Linked DNA regions of Tamandua tetradactyla. The protein of the gene in region 2 interacts with the protein of the main gene of each other region in a pairwise test. Links are inferred from orthologs where the notes say so. Each region holds a gene or a part of one and is shown on either strand. Other genes may lie near its edges.

Region 1 (7,676 bases), on a different chromosome or scaffold from region 2:
ACAGGCGCCTTAGGCAGCAAGTTATTCTTTTGTATATCTCCTTTCCTTTAAGGCAGTCGTGAGTGTTCGTATTATTACTGTTATGACGATGATGATGATTAATAGCAGTTAACTTTTTTTGGTGCTTACTATGTGCTTTGTACATTACTAAGTGCTTTACATGTCACTTAATTTTCATGACAACCCTATGAGGTATTACAGGGTTACAGATGAGGAACATAAAGCTTTAAATCCCCCTTTACAGATGAGGAACATAAAGCTAAGAAAGGACATGCTATTTCACCAAAAACATGCACCTAGTAATTAGTAGAGGCAGAATTTGAACCCAATTTTGTCTAATTCCAAAGCCCACATTCTTAATTACCACACCATTCTGCCTCTAAATTAGCCTAAAACTAAAATGGTGAGAAGAGCCACACACAGTGACATGCTCTGAGTCTCAGGCCTATTGGTGTCTATTTTTAAAGGTATTTGGGAAAGCAGATTCCACAATTTCCCCCAGTTACATATTCAGGTTTAGCAAATCTGGTTTTAAAGAAGTTTCTTCCTTCTAACCAATAAATCCCACCCACTGTCCTCTGAACCCATTTCCTCTTAGTCTGAGTCCAGTAGAAAAGAGAATAGCACAGATGAACACTCACAACGTGACATTTGTGCACCAAAGACTTCACTTCCACTCTTTCCAGTCTGCTATCTGCTTTCCTTTATACTTCCATTCAGCATAATAATAATAACAGCAGCTACCATTCAATGGCACCAATTCTGTGCCAGGCACCATATTTGTACATTGGCCCCTCCTCCATGATCTCCAGGTTCCCAATTTACAGGCAACACTTTGAGGAACTTAAATCGAATGTAGAGACCTCTTTGTACACTATGGGGAGGCAGGAGATCTGGGAATTCAAGTAAATAATGATTCTATGTTCTGGTAATATTTTCCTCTTTGGCTCTCAGGTTCCATTACCCACGCCTGTGTTCTGTCTCTCAGGAAGGCAGAGAGATCAAGACTTGTAATTACAGAGTCCAAGGGTCTTTGTATCCTTGATTGGCTATCTCTAGGCCTCTCCCTGACAACCAAGCCATCTCCTTTCTTTTCCTTTAACTATAGGAAAAGCTTGTCAAGTTCTATCCATTCACACCTTGTATTCACTTACACATTCATCATGAGTACCTGTGTGAACATACATTATGTGAGACAAGAGAAGATCCAATTCCTGCATTCAAAAAACTTCCAATTTCTTTGGGAAAACCAATACGTACGCAAAAATTTTTCAACTATGCAAGGTAAAACGCTGGAAGGCAGGAAGCATCTGAATATGTGAAACATGGGAAAACTTTCTGGTTGACTCTAAGATCAATGATTCATTCTGTGAAAAACTGAACCTCAAGGGATCGGCTTCTTTCTCAGGATGAGCTTTTACAGACATGTTATTCAACCTCAAATCTAATGTGCAATACCACTCCACTGTCCCCTTCCAGTCTTAACAAGTGGAGACACCTGCCCCAACAATATGCCCAAGATAGAATGGCAGCAAAGACTGTCACTATACCTGATTGGTGACAAGGAAGAAGGTATGCAGAGACTTGATTCTGTCCTGTTGCACTGACCCAAGCAATCAGACTCCTGCAGCACATCTCCTCCCAATTAAACTTTCATGTCACAGACCAGGGGTGACCTGACCCAACCCAACAGCAGCAAAGGCAGGTTTTAAGTTACAATTCTCCCTCACCCAGATGACCTCACTATTCTTCTCACTTCTGACCACACACCACACCACACCACACCAGTCCTCTTGGCCTGGCCAAATGGAGAAGATCCAATTCCTGCATTCAAAAAGCTTCTAATCTCTTTAAAGAAAACCAGAACGTATTACTGCCAGCAAGCAGGCAGTAATATAACCCAGAAAGAAGGGAACGCTTCAAAAAAAGAAGCTACAACTTTGCTAATCAAGTGGCTCGCTTTAACAGGGAACTCCCCCCCCCCCCCCAATGGTTGGTGTAGGCTATAGATCCATTTTCTCTTCCGGGAATCTTGCTACTCCTTAAAGAAAGAAAGCGGATTGGAAGACACAAACTCCGGGCCAGCGACAAGACGCTCCCTCCTCCTGTGAGACCGCCCCCGCTCCGCCTGGGGGAGGAAGGCCCCACCTCTCTTCTCCAAGTCAGATAAGATCCCCCTCCCCCTTCTCCAGTCTCCTCTCCTTCCACACCCCACCTGCTGCCCTCTCCTTAACCTGCGGTTCCCAAGACCCGAAACCGCAACCTCCTCCAAAATCGTGCTCCTGGGTGCCCCACTAGCCGCGCTGCCGACTAGCAACCAAACCCATTACACACCTCTGCCCCACGATGGGGAGGGTCGCCACAGCAAGGCTTCTCTCCGGTCTCCTACTGCTACCAGGTGGGGGAAGAAAAGGGGGATAAGAAAAAACTGCATTACCTAGCCTTTAACAGAAATTAAAAAAAAAAAAAAAATCAAAAGAGCGATCGCCGCCCCCGCATCTCAGGATTGTTTTTTTCCCCCCACAACCCCAACCCCTAGCAAACCCACCTCCTGCAGGAGAGAAGAACCTAACTGCATCCCAGGTCGCCCCCTTGTGCGAAGCGGAGGACAAATCCGTATGCGCCCCCCACCCCCACTCCGGCTCCGCGTCCTTCAAATGTGGGGGCAGGAATGAGACGCCCCGAGACCCCTCTCCGAGCCTCCAGTGGGAAGGGCACACCACCCCATGCCAAGCCGTGGAGGCGGGGGGCGGGAGGGCTGAAGGCTCTACGCCCTCAGTCCCCACCTCAAGCCTCTTCTCTACCGGGACCCGCCTTCCCTCCCCAACCTCTCACCTGTTCCTGCTCCCAGCTCCGCCGCTGCGGCCGCCGCCTCCGCAGATTCCACTCGGCTCTCACTCCGCTCTCTCCAGCTCCCCCACGACTTCGGCGCGGCTGCTCCCCTGGCCCCGCCGCTCCCCGACTCCCTCCTTCCCTCTCTCCACCTAGCACCGGAAGCCGCGACGGCGACAGGAGCTGTGCGGCTCACCCCTACCCCAGCCCGGGATACTTCCCACCTCCCCGATCGCGCGAGAGCTGCGCGGCGGCGAACGGCAGTTCTCGCGATATCCATCACCATGGCAGCCGCTGCAGCAAAGGCAGCCCAGCAATGGAGCTGCAGCCAGGGCGGGGGCCGGTGTGGGGGCTGGAGGCTGCTGGCGACTGAAGCGTGAGCCAGGGAATGGGGATGAGGCAGTGGGGACTGAGGTGAGAATTCCAAGCTGAGGGCTATGCCTGGAACTTGAAGACTGGGACTCCAAAGCTGGCTGCACTTTAGACTGAGGTTGGGCTAAGGAGGCTCTGGGGCTGTTTGGGTAAAGTCAGGAGCCGGGCTTGGGTGAGAATCCTTGCTGTGCCTCGCTTTGCCCCGTCAGACCTCATCCTTATTTCTTGCCTAGGACCAGCTGTATCCCCCTGAGAACTCTCACTGCTCCCAGTGTTGCTGTTCACTACTTCCAAATCTAGTTTACTCTAAGGTCTGAATCAAGAGACCCTTTCTCATTGGAAAGAGGAGAGTGATGAATTTAAGGGACTGAAGGAAACAGCTGGACTCTGGGCCAGTCAGGAAGCTGGAAATCGACAGACAAAAACAGTAGAAGCCTAATATATTCAGAGGTGGGGTTTAGGAAGTGTACCTGGATGAGTATGGATTTTAGTATCCCCAGGAAAGTGAAGGACTTTGCACCTAATGTTTTTGACCTCCTACCCATCCCCATTTCCCTCACACTCATTTTTGCACCTGTTCTAGACATGCAAAACTGGAACAGTCACAGCTATGATGGAAGAAGGACAATAATGATAAGAACAGAAGAGGGTTCTTTAAGTGTTCTTTCTCCTCATTCACAGCATCAAAAGGGAACACATGACTCTTCTCTAAGGCTGAAGCAGAAATTATTGCTTTTCTGGGTTTGTTACTGTGTTTCTGGTCTACTTGTAAGAGGGAGGCTGGTAGCCACACAGTGTCTGCCCTCTTGCCTCCATCAATTCCTGCCTTCACAAGTCCCTCCCTCTTAACCTAGTCTGTTTTCCGTCTTTTAACCTGGAAGATAACATGACCCCAGAATATGAATCCAATAGGACCCTAATTTAGGATAGTGATGGATGAATTGGCTGGCAAGAAAACCTGTATATAATGAAGAGAGTTATCTCTATCCTGGGCTGTTGTTATTCAGGGCCTTTGTCTTGCTAAGATCTGTGCTTTTAAAAGCAAAAGACTCCTCTGGTATTGATGCAGATTCTGTGCATGGGCCCTGTTACACCTCCACATGATTGCTTTAGCCTTTCCACTGTTTCTAGTAGCACCACTCTAGGTCTTGTCCCCACACACTCTGACCACCAAAATTATGCTTTCCATCCCCCTTCCCTAGAAGAATGTGGAGCATGTTGCTGTTCCTGCCCAAGATTTCAGACCTCCCCAGGTGTGACAGAAGGATAGAAATGGTGACTACCTAATACGGTTAGCAACAAGCATGGTATTTGAGTCAGGACTGATGAATAGAACTGGAGAATCTCCGAGCCCTTCTGTCCTTCACCCCTCTAGAGACTCAAGAGGAAAAGGTTTGTTGCAACATCAGTGGGGGTTTCCCACGGAGCAAACAGGAGCGCAGAGAGAACCAGTGCTGCCCAGCTGGCAATTAGCCAGCCACTTGGTAAAGCCTAAGGGGAAAAGAGTTCATCCAGAGCTAAAGGAGGCCAAGAGATTTGGCTTACATACAGTTCATCAGCCTTTCTCCCTCCCTCTGGCTGCCATATAAACTAAGTAAAAGCTAAATTGCAGCCACCCACTCTGTGGGTTCCACACTCCCACTCCTGTTGCTGACCTAGGCCTGGGCCTGAGTCCAGTGTATGTGCCAAGAGCAGAAGTAGGGAAGGAGGGGGGGTGTTGGCCTTCCTGACAAAATCCATTTGTAATTTCTCAAGGTTGTGGTTTGGGGCTTAAATTTGCCACAGAGTATGTCTGACGAAAGAGGAGGGAAAGCTAGAAAGAGAAAGGGAGCCAAAGCGATTACTGAGGAAGGAAACAGGAAAAAGCTGAAATATTCTTGCTGTGACTCCATTGGAGATTCTCCTCAGTCTTCCTGAGAGTGAGAAATTCCCATTCTGGAATTCTTGCTTGTTATTTTCCCTCATATCCTAAGTCCATTCCAGCTGCATCCTACCTACTCTGTTCAGCTCCCCCATATACATACTAGGCTCAGCCAGTGCCTGAACTAAAGATGGGATATCTTCCTGCCTCCATCAAATTTCCAAACTCAGAATTCCTAGTGCTCAAGTGGAAATTCAGATAATAAAATTTTGCCATAAGATATTGCACTAACCCTAAACTCTTCAAAATATCTTTGCTACCCTGGTGAGCCTCCGCATATCATCTGAGTTGAGTGATAATACAGATATAAATGTTGCCTAGAGGAAGAGAACAATTTGCCTTTCCTGGCCAAAGAGATGACCCGTTAGAGTCAGCATCTCACAGCCCCATAAATATGCAATCATTTGTAGCGTTCTAAATGTATGATGCATATCCCTTTTCCACATTGAACCTTGGGAAGATAAATGTATTTTCAAAGATAATTGGGCTAGGAATAGAATGATTAGAAAAGAAGAAATGCTGTTCTCCCTAGTTATGGTTATTGCTTAAAAGATGAAGGAATTATTTTGCTAAGATTAAATGCAGAAGAATCCTGAGTAAGGAGAGACAAAATGCATATGCAAATAATTCAGTAACAGACCAATTCTGAGCATGGAAATTCCTTTTATATGTTTCTCATTAATCTTGCATCTACCTCCCAAGTTCTCTGGTATGGAGCCAGAAAGAAAAGCACCTGCTACTTTGGGTCCAGGTTCAAGGCTGAGATACAACTGAGAACTTAAAAAAAACAGAACAGAGGTAATTTCATGTCTAGATGCAGGGGTCAACAAAGTACAGTCAGAGGGTCAAGTCTGGCCCTGCAGCCTGTTTTTGTGAATTTTTATTGGACATTGCCACACCCTTTTGCTTCTGTACGGTCTATGACTGCTTTTGATCAACAACAACAGAGTTGAGTAGTTGTGGCTGAGATGAGTAGTTACAATAAAGCCCACAAGCCTAAAATATTTACTCACTAACCCTTTACAGAAAAAAAGTCACCAACCCTTGTTCTAGGGTAGTGACCAAGATGAAATCTGGAGTGGAGGCACATAGAGAGTAAATTGGGCCTAGGTTTGCATCTCTAGCCCCTCCCACTTAGAAGTTCCTCCTGGTTTTGCACACTAAAATTTCCACCTAAGTCACCAAGGACCATTTCAGATCCTTTGTGGAACCAGGCAGGATATACATAAAGTAACTGAGAGGCGGAGAGCAGGGGTATTCACCTGGAAAAGAAGCCATGCACTAGGATATCAAGTGTGGGCAGCAATATCACCATCTGCATCCACTGGTCCAGTAACTTAATTTATTTTCATTACAAACAGGAACCAAGAACAAGTCTCAGTACAATAAATTATCCATTTCCATCCCTCATGCTGAAAAAAAAAAAAAGAGGCTGAGAGAGTCTTAGGTAAAACCTTCCCTTGGAGGATCCCCTTTAACATCGGAATGGAGAGAGACAGCTCACTAAGGGTCTGCACAGAACTCTCTGAGGACTCAGGGGAGAGCCACCCCTCAACACTCTGTCCCTTCCCCAAGAGAAAGCTCTCAACTGCTGTCTCCCATGACCCCACAAGCGAGGACCCAGTTTGCAGTAAAGAAGTTTGGGAACAGCAAATAAGAGTATAGTCAGTTTCTGGATACAGATCATATGATTCCACATAATGCCTGTGGCTATCCCTCGAGAGACAAGTGGTCAAACTGTAGGAACTCCCCTATCAAATTAGTATGAATCAGGATTAAAGGGACCCTGGAGTCGGGGGCAATACAGTGCATTTCAACTTAGTTTCCTCAGGTGTTTGAAGAGCAGAAAAGGAGTGACATTCCCCCACAAAGCCCTTCAACTGTGGGGAGAAGCTGCAAATCACATGGAGTCCTCCTGGCCCCTGCCACCCCCAAAGCTGTTTTCCAGGGAGATGCTTCAAGCTTTCAGGGACCAAGATCAACCCTGGACAGAAATCAGAGCAAAGGGCTGAAAAGGTGCACACACCCACACACCCACACACACACATACACACACACCATTCCCCAGGCCCATGGTGAGGCTGACCGTCATTTACACACATTGACCCACTCTGTGACTCTGCACTCATCACACAGCACGTAGCAGCACCAGTGGAAGCGGCAGTGGCAACGCTCAATTCGTGTCTGCCGGAGCACATTATGCCCACGACCACAGCACAGGCTCCCACAGCCATCCAGCAGGCGGCTAGTCTTGTTGCAGGCCCGGCCCCGTGTTCCCGGGGAGCTCACGGTAGGGTCTCGGTCACAAAAATCAGGAGACTTCTCAAAGTAGACCAGCTCTCCTGAGAGACGACCGGGACGCAGGCGAGGTTGGAAGGCTCCTGAGTTGCGGTTGTGGGTATTGATGAAGATGGCCCTGCCCAGTCGCTCCCTCAATGCTGCCCCCACTGCCCGGAACTCCGGGGCCGCCCTCCAGCATGTCTTGAACTGGCAGCTGCCTGAAGTGCCATGGCACTTGCATTTCCGTTTCAGGTTTTCAATTACCACCTAG
Region 2 (7,745 bases):
CTTGTGAGTCACCTAGTACTCCCCCTACCCCCAACCCCTCCAACTCTGGACTTCTGTACACACCCTTAGGCTGCCTCCACAGGTGAGTGTTGCTGGGGGCAGGGCTGGGCCCACCCTGGAGGGGTTCTGCCTGTGGGCTGTAGGAGGGAGGGAGGGAGGCTGAGGGGTGACTGCCTGGGAGGGCCCGAGCCCAGGTCCCCCACCCTCTTTGGCCTGGCTGAGGCACCTGAAGCTCTGGGGACTTCTGGCTGAGGTCAGCAAAGGCGTCCCCCAGTGCATGCTGGGTCTGCAGCAGGCTGTAGAGATGGGCTGTCAATGCCCGGCCCAACTGCAGGACACTCTCATACTTGCGCTTCGTCTCACGCAGCAACTCAATCTGCAGCTCTAGTTCCAGGTCCACAGTCCGGGAGCCTCGCCCAAATCGCTCTGATAACAGCTGCTTTGTACACTGATTGGGAAGTGGAAGAATAAGTCAGAGACCCTAGAACCCTCACCACCTACTCAGGTACCCACCCCTGCATCCCCAGATGCCAGATCTCAGTCATAGATGGGATATTAGGGTCTCGGGAGAAGGGAAAACATTACCCAAGGGAATTATGAGTATATGGAGAGGTGCTCAAATCCCACCTTGTATGTGTTGATGCCCCATTTCTTGACGATGTCAAACTTCTCTCCAGCGATGCCCCGAGCCACCTCATCTCCAGTGCCAGAGGGAGTGGCACTGTGAGAAGGATGGCGTCCGGATCCTAAAGGACCAAATTCTCTGACATTAGCCTCTTTCAGATACAACCAGATACCTCTGTGGCCCCACTCATACTTCCCTCCCAGGACATGAAAATGACTTCCCTGAAGCAGCAGGGACTAAAGACACAGATTTGCCTGTTCACTAGGGAGAACTCATACCTTATGCCCTGAGACCCAAATCCCATATACATGTTCTGCCTGGGAGGGCCCGAGGCAGGAGATGTATATTCTTCCCATACTTGTACAGCAGCTTCTGTGTCTCTGCAGTGTAGCCAAATTCCTCCTGAAGAAAGAAGTGAGGGACACCTCCTTCTGAGGTGTGTGTGTGTGTGGGGGGGGGGGGGGCACTGTTGCTACAGTACAGTCTCTCCCAGAAACAGAAGAAAATGTACCAAGTATATTGGAGGGAGGGCGGAGGAGGAGAAGGGCAGGTTAAGATTGGTTGATCCTAATAATAGGAAACCTGGTGACTTTCCCATGTGGCATTCTAGTCTGTGTGGAACTTGGGACTGTTTGTTTCTCTAAATTTTAGAGTCTTAAATAGACCTTTAAGAAACTTCAGAAAATTCAAAATCAGTCTCAAGCTACAGAACAGTAGAACTTCTGAGAACTAGAAGTCTTAACCTGGTTCAAGTAGTAATAGTAAGGAAAGAATAAATGGGTGTATCTCAGGGGCTAAATGGCAAATGGGAGCATATGGACAACACTGGGAGCTGCTCTTGGACTGAAGAGGGTCCATGGAGTTCATACTAACGGAACCTCCCCCCAGACCTCCATGTATAAACCAAACTTCTCTAGACATATCTGACACTCCCCAGAACAATTCCTATCCTCCCTCTTCACTCAACCTTCCTGTTTCTGATCATACCTGTAGGGATGAGTCCATCACCAGAGCCCCCATAACCACCAGACACAATGCTGGTTTCATTGAGGTTGGGTCCTGACACCATCACCTGCTGGAGGTCCTAAAGGCCAGAGAAGAGAGGGGCTTCAGGAACACAGGGCAGCTGAAGCACTTTGACGGTAGGAACAAGGTTGGATTGAAACATCAAAGAGAGAGCACTCAAGGGAAGTCTGCACAGAACCAGAATGAAGATATGTGAAAAGATTAAGGGGAGTTAGCTACATTAAGGGAAAGCTAGTGGAATGAGAGTGACAGCCCAGGATCTGAGTTGGGATTGCTAAATTGAAACAAATAGGAGAAGAATCAAACTGAAGCACCTGCTCCAGCCCATCATCCTCAGGAAGCTGCCCAGCTTCGCCATTCCCGTGGATGGGGATCTCCATGGTGGCTGCCTTCCCCAGGATCCCGTCCGTCATGGCTGGAGAAGCAACTGGAGTCAAAGTCTCCACCCCAGGGCCCTGCAAAACCCGACACAGTTCTGGAAACAGGCCAGCACTCTAGGAGAAGAAAGCCTCCCCGGCCATTTTTAAGGTTTTAGAGGTTATCCCCAGGGATTAAATGTGGCCTGGGGCTCAGCCACCACTCCTCTCCTCAGGTGTATGTTTCTCCTCTCCAGCGTGCACATTTTTACACAGGCACATTCAGGCCTCAGGTGTCTTCTCACAACCCCTCAAACGCACCAGGACTCGGTTGCTCAATCATGCATTCAATCATTCAGTAGGCATTTAATGAATGCCTACCATGTGGCAGGTACTACATGAAGCTCTAGGAATGCAGCAGTGAATAAGAGAGATGAAGTCTGTGCCTTCGATGGAGCTTATCTCCATTCATGTGTCTCTCCACCGACCAGGAGATGAACCCTTCTCCAGGGCTCAGGTGTCCGCCCCCATTAGGGTATATTCTCTATTGCTCGGCCATTACCAGTCTTTTAATTTTCTTCCCTCTTACTTCAGGTGGTCTCTCCCTTCTCCATCCCATGCACCTTCTCCTCCTCAGCACCTCCTCACCAGGATTAATCAGTCGATGTATGTTCCCCATCTGTAGTAAAAACCTCCCTTTTCCAGGACACAGATGATGCCTTCCAAAGTCAGTTATGTCTCCCCAGGTGTGTGAGCCCGCCCCACCCCCATACACCTGGGCATCAGGTGTGTCTCCATCCTTCCCCTGGGCTCAGGGGCATCTTGCCGATAGGGCAGCTTCGTGCATTTAACTCCCCCTCGCCCAAGTATGAACCTCTCACCTCGGGCCGGGCCGCTCTTCCCCTCAGGGCGCCAGGCCCGGGCCGCGCGGGGACCTCGGGCTCCAGTTCCCGTCGCGATCCTAGCAGCAGGTCAGGGATTCGGCGGAAGTGACGTCCCTCATGGGCAGAAGAAGCCGGCCACGTCGCAGATTATGAGGGCGGTAGTGACGTTAGCCTCCGGGGGCAGGGCGCTCTTTGAGCCAACCCCTCAGTCCTCTGGGAATCGGAGAAAGATCACTTCCGGGGCGTTATCGAGAAACGGCAATGAAAGTGATGTGGTACGCGCAGGTGGCGTGATGGAGCAGCAACAGCAGCAACTGAGAAACGTGAGTGGGTCGGTGCAGGGCTGTCCCTTCAGCTCACATCCCTACCCCCGAAGGGATAACCCAAAGAGCTAGGGATTCAAAGGCTGGGAGTATCAGGCTGTGATGCCTGTGAAACCTCGGGCGGCGGGGACTGAAGTGACGTGTGGAGCCCCTTATCGCTGTGTTCCTGGCTCCCTTTTCTCCCAGTTGCGAGATTTCCTGTTGGTCTATAATCGGATGACAGAACTCTGCTTCCTACGCTGCGTGCCCAGCCTGCACCACCGAGCTCTGGACGCCGAGGAGGTGGGGAACTGAGTAGGAATTCCTCAATTATCGGTAGACTATCTCCCCTTCCCTGCTTCCCCCACCTCCGGCCCCAGCCTTTCCATGGTCTTTGGCTGTAGGCTGGGGATGACGAAGGAAGGCGATGAGGCCTGGTAGGACCCTTTGGCCTCTACTTCCATCTGTCTTTTTTCCAGGAGGCCTGTCTGCACAGCTGTGCTGGGAAGCTGATCCATTCCAACCACCGCCTCATGGCTGCTTATGTGCAGCTCATGCCTGCCCTGGTACAGCGCCGCATCGCAGACTACGAGGCTACCTCGGCTGTGCCAGGTGTTGCTTCTGAACAACCGGGAGTCTCCCCATCAGGCAGCTAGCTGTCCCCTCCCCAGGAGGGGAGGGACTGGAGGGAACCTCAGATTGAGGAAGCCAGTGGACCTTGGGCTGGGTGAAAGCTCTACAGAGTAGGTGAGGGGAATGCCTGAGAGCTTGGTATCGTTTCTTCTTTCCCTGGAGCCAATAAACTGGCTTTTGACTCCGTTTGATTTCCATTCTGGGCAGGGAAACTTTGCTTGCTTTATTGGCACCATCTTTTGTTCTGCCAGTTAGTGCATATTTGTTAACTTCAGACCTGGCAGCTGAAAAATTACCTTTATATGCAGAAGAATACCTCAACAGTCCCAGATCCCTGGTTAAAGCAGGATTTGTGGGTATAATTTCCAAGTTTGTAAAAGTAATAGAAAGTTGGTTCTTGCTCAGATGACAGAGAAAATGGGAGCTCTGTCTTGCTGTCCTTGAGACTTAAATGGCTCACTCGTGAGCTAAGTCTGTATTAATAACTAATTTTTTCATGGACTGTGTCTTACAAGAAAGGATTCTGCCAGGTCTCAGGAACAGTGGCAGTACCTAAGAGCAACAGATCAAAAAACAAAAGGACTTTTAGCACTACCTCCTGGGAAGTCAGTGGCCAGGAGCAGAAATGATCCTATAGAACTTCATCCATTTTCTGAGGTCATACTTTATTATTATTATTTTCTGTCTTCCCAAGATGAGGAGTAAAACCTTTAAACAAAGATGGTATGTTTGCTTGTCTTCCAGGACAGTCAGGAAGGGGAAAACTTGGGGAACCATATTGTACAGTGCATACATCCTTGAAGGAAAGAAACTTAAGGGAGAAGTAGATTGTGGTAACTGAAAAAAAAAAGGATAAAACCAAATCTTCCAGACCTCTTTAATGTTATTGCAGTGTCTTACTCCTTGTCTATAATCTCTTTAACCCAATTCTGCACCTAGCATTGTTCCCACTGTACCTATTCAGTGCTTTCAATTCCAGCCTCTCCATTGTTTTCTTGCCTTCCTTATAGAATTTACTTTTCTATTTAGCAGTCGGAATGGCATATGACTCCACTCTCCATTTTCTTACTGCCATTGGCTTGTTTTTTAAAATTAATTCAGCTGTTTTATATTTTTTATTCCTCTTTTCAAGCTGCTGCATGTTGTGCTGCTGGTGGGAAAATTCTACATCAACGTTTGTTTGTGTCCATGCAGTAAACTTCCATTGTGAATTTGCGTTTCCTCTCTTTCCATGTCGTATAATTAATAATTGCTGGAGAAGGGCTAGGAACATAGATCTGTCTGACTCTAAAGTCTGTGTTCTTTGAACTTCCAAACCTTATATCTGCAACCTCACCTGTACCCAGCTTGTTGGCATGGAAAGACAAGCATCCTTCAATGTGACCTATCAATTCTCTCTTAAATTTTCAATCTCTTCTGCTATGGTTCTTTTTGTCTATAAATATGATACTTAAGAGAATAACGTTATTCCTACCAAAAAGAGACAGCCAATTGTATATGGGAACAATGTGATGTTTAAAGCATAACAATTAGGAATAAATGTTGACAAAATTTTATCACTTATCACACATACACACACACACACACACACACACATATATATATATTCCTTTGTGGCCATTCAGCCATACAATGTCATTATTTGTGTTTAGAAGCTACCATTCTCCTGCCACTTTCTTCTAAAACTGAGCTCATGGCCTCTTACCCACCCCTTTATACTTTGATGTTTACATGGATAGTCCATTCAATACCCCGCTCTCTAAGTTCTTTGAGCCAACCTCCCAATGATTTGCACCCGCCCTCTTAGTTATATCACCCCAAACTGCTTTTTCTTCAAAACACTTACATCTCATTCACTGACTATATTCCTTCCACTTTGTTTATTTAACTGTTCTTTTTACTACCATTCTTTGATTTCACTGGAGGATTCAGGCCATTGCATCTTCTACTTTGTCCATTAGCACCATCCTGACTTTAGATTCCTATCCGGCTTATATTTTAGTGATTTTCTTCCAATAGCCTAAATTTCTTTGTCTCTCATATCTTTGTTGGACTATTCTCACAAAATATCAACCTTAGGTGAAAAAAGCATTGTGCCTGCATTTGAATAACCAAATGCCTCCCAAGGAAATTACTGTAGAGCATATTTTCACCAATATGAATCCGTGATTACCAACTTCAAATGGTGTCTCAGCCCCTATAATCTCATAAAATTTTTCTAGTCATCTCTCCTTCCTGCAATAATTATTTCAAACCAATATTCGTTAGGCTCTTATTACCCCCTACCATTCTTTTCACTTTCTGTGGTAACCTTACTTCTTCAGACAAAAGGAGAAACCTTTAGCTAGGAACTCCCTCAACATCCAGCATTATTCACCCACATTACCATCACTTCTCTTTTTCTCCTGTCTAAACAGAGCAATTATCTCTCTTCTCTAAGGCCTGTGCTCTGAATTCTGTTCCTTTCCTCTTCAGTAATCAATGATTTTTCTCTCACTTTACTGAATTATCATCAATATCTAAATATGCTAACTGTTCCCTTGTTAAAACAAACCATTCCGGGTGCTGTTTGTCCAGCTACCATCCTATCTCTTCCACTTTTCCAGCTAAACTTTTCAAAACAGTTGTTTACTTCGACCTTCTCCATCCTACAGGTCACTCTCCACTCCCATTCCTCAACCCAAGGACTTTGACTTCTGCAACCTTTATTCCACTGAAATAGGTCTTACTAAAGTCATCCTGGTTCACCAAGGTGACTTGAGTCCAGTGATTATTTCCCAGTCCAGTGCTTATTTCACTTGAGTCCAGTGCTTATTTCACTTCTCTGTAGTGTTTGGTACTATTCAACAAAACTAGTCCCTTATCATTGGCCCTCTTCCCTTGGTGTTTGAGTTAACTCTCATGGTTTTACCACTGTTTCTTTACTGCAACTACTTTTTCAGGCTCATCCTCTTCTCAACTTTAAAAGTAAAACTATTCCCTAGGTCCTGTTCTTTCATAGTCTAATTTTTCTAAGATGGGTTTATCCCCACTCTGGGCTTCATTTATTAATGACTCCCAGATCTCTCCTTTGAGCTACTTAACATCTCCACTTAGGTGTCTCAAGCTCGACTCATTAAGGCCCAACTCATAAACTTCTCTCCTATACTAGTAATCGTCCAATTGCAGAAGCTAGACACGTAGACACACCCCTCTCACCTCTTCACTCAATTGCCAAATTCTTTCTATTTACATTTTTAAGTATTCCTGGATTGTGCATGTTTCTTATTCCTCTTCACTTCGTGACCCCCAGATTATTGAATTGCTTCTTCCCATATCCCCCTTGATTTATTTTGTACCCCTTGTACCCCTTGATTTATTTTCAGTCATCAACCAGAAAACACAGGCTGATGCTTGAAACCTTGCAATAACTTCCCATTATTAGGGTAAAATGTAAATTCTATCACTGTCAAAATTTCAACAGCCTTTTTAACAGAACTATTAAAGCCAGTCAAATTCATATGCAATAGTAAGACAACCCAAATAGCCAAAACAATTTTTTGGAGGCCTTACATTTCCAATTTCAAAACATACTACAACAACCTCACACCTATAAGAATGGCTGCTTTTAAACAAACAGGAAACTAGATGTTAGAGAGGATGTGGAGAAACTGGGACACTTATGCACTGCTGGTGGGGATATGTAATGTTATAGCCACTATGAAAGACTGGCGTTTCCTTAGGAAACTAAATACTGAGTTGTCCTATGACCCAGCAATAGCACTACTTGGTATATACCCAGAAGAACTGAAAGCAACAATACAAACAGACGTTTGTACACTGATGTTCATAGCAACATTATTCACAATCGCCAAAAGACGGAAAACAGACCAAATGCCCATCAACAGACCAGTGGATCAACAAAATGTGGTATATACAT

What was found.
Region 1: the proteins of ARFIP2 (region 2) and ARF3 interact in a two-hybrid assay, tested with the Homo sapiens proteins (2 studies listed by BioGRID and IntAct). The link is inferred for Tamandua tetradactyla from reciprocal best matches to the Homo sapiens genes ARFIP2 and ARF3.

The regions. Positions count from the first base shown.
Region 1 is NC_135333.1:109,850,078-109,857,753, forward strand, and holds the start of ARF3 (ADP-ribosylation factor 3), read right to left. Parts: upstream 3,064-7,676; 5' UTR 2,836-3,063; intron 2,392-2,835; exon of another isoform or gene 2,389-2,391; 5' UTR 2,335-2,388; intron 1-2,334. Other genes in the region: WNT10B (protein Wnt-10b), read right to left, coding at 7,214-7,672.
Region 2 is NC_135334.1:79,907,267-79,915,011, forward strand, and holds the start of ARFIP2 (arfaptin-2), read right to left. Parts: upstream 3,021-7,745; 5' UTR 2,889-3,020; intron 2,107-2,888; 5' UTR 2,065-2,106; coding exon 1,966-2,064; intron 1,710-1,965; coding exon 1,613-1,709; intron 747-1,612; coding exon 628-746; intron 449-627; coding exon 227-448; intron 1-226. Other genes in the region: TIMM10B (mitochondrial import inner membrane translocase subunit Tim10 B), read left to right, coding at 3,185-3,214, 3,401-3,496, 3,673-3,849. UniProt on the Homo sapiens protein: Plays a role in constitutive metalloproteinase (MMP) secretion from the trans Golgi network. May have important functions during vesicle biogenesis at certain cargo subdomains, which could be predominantly utilized by secreted MMPs, such as MMP7 and MMP2.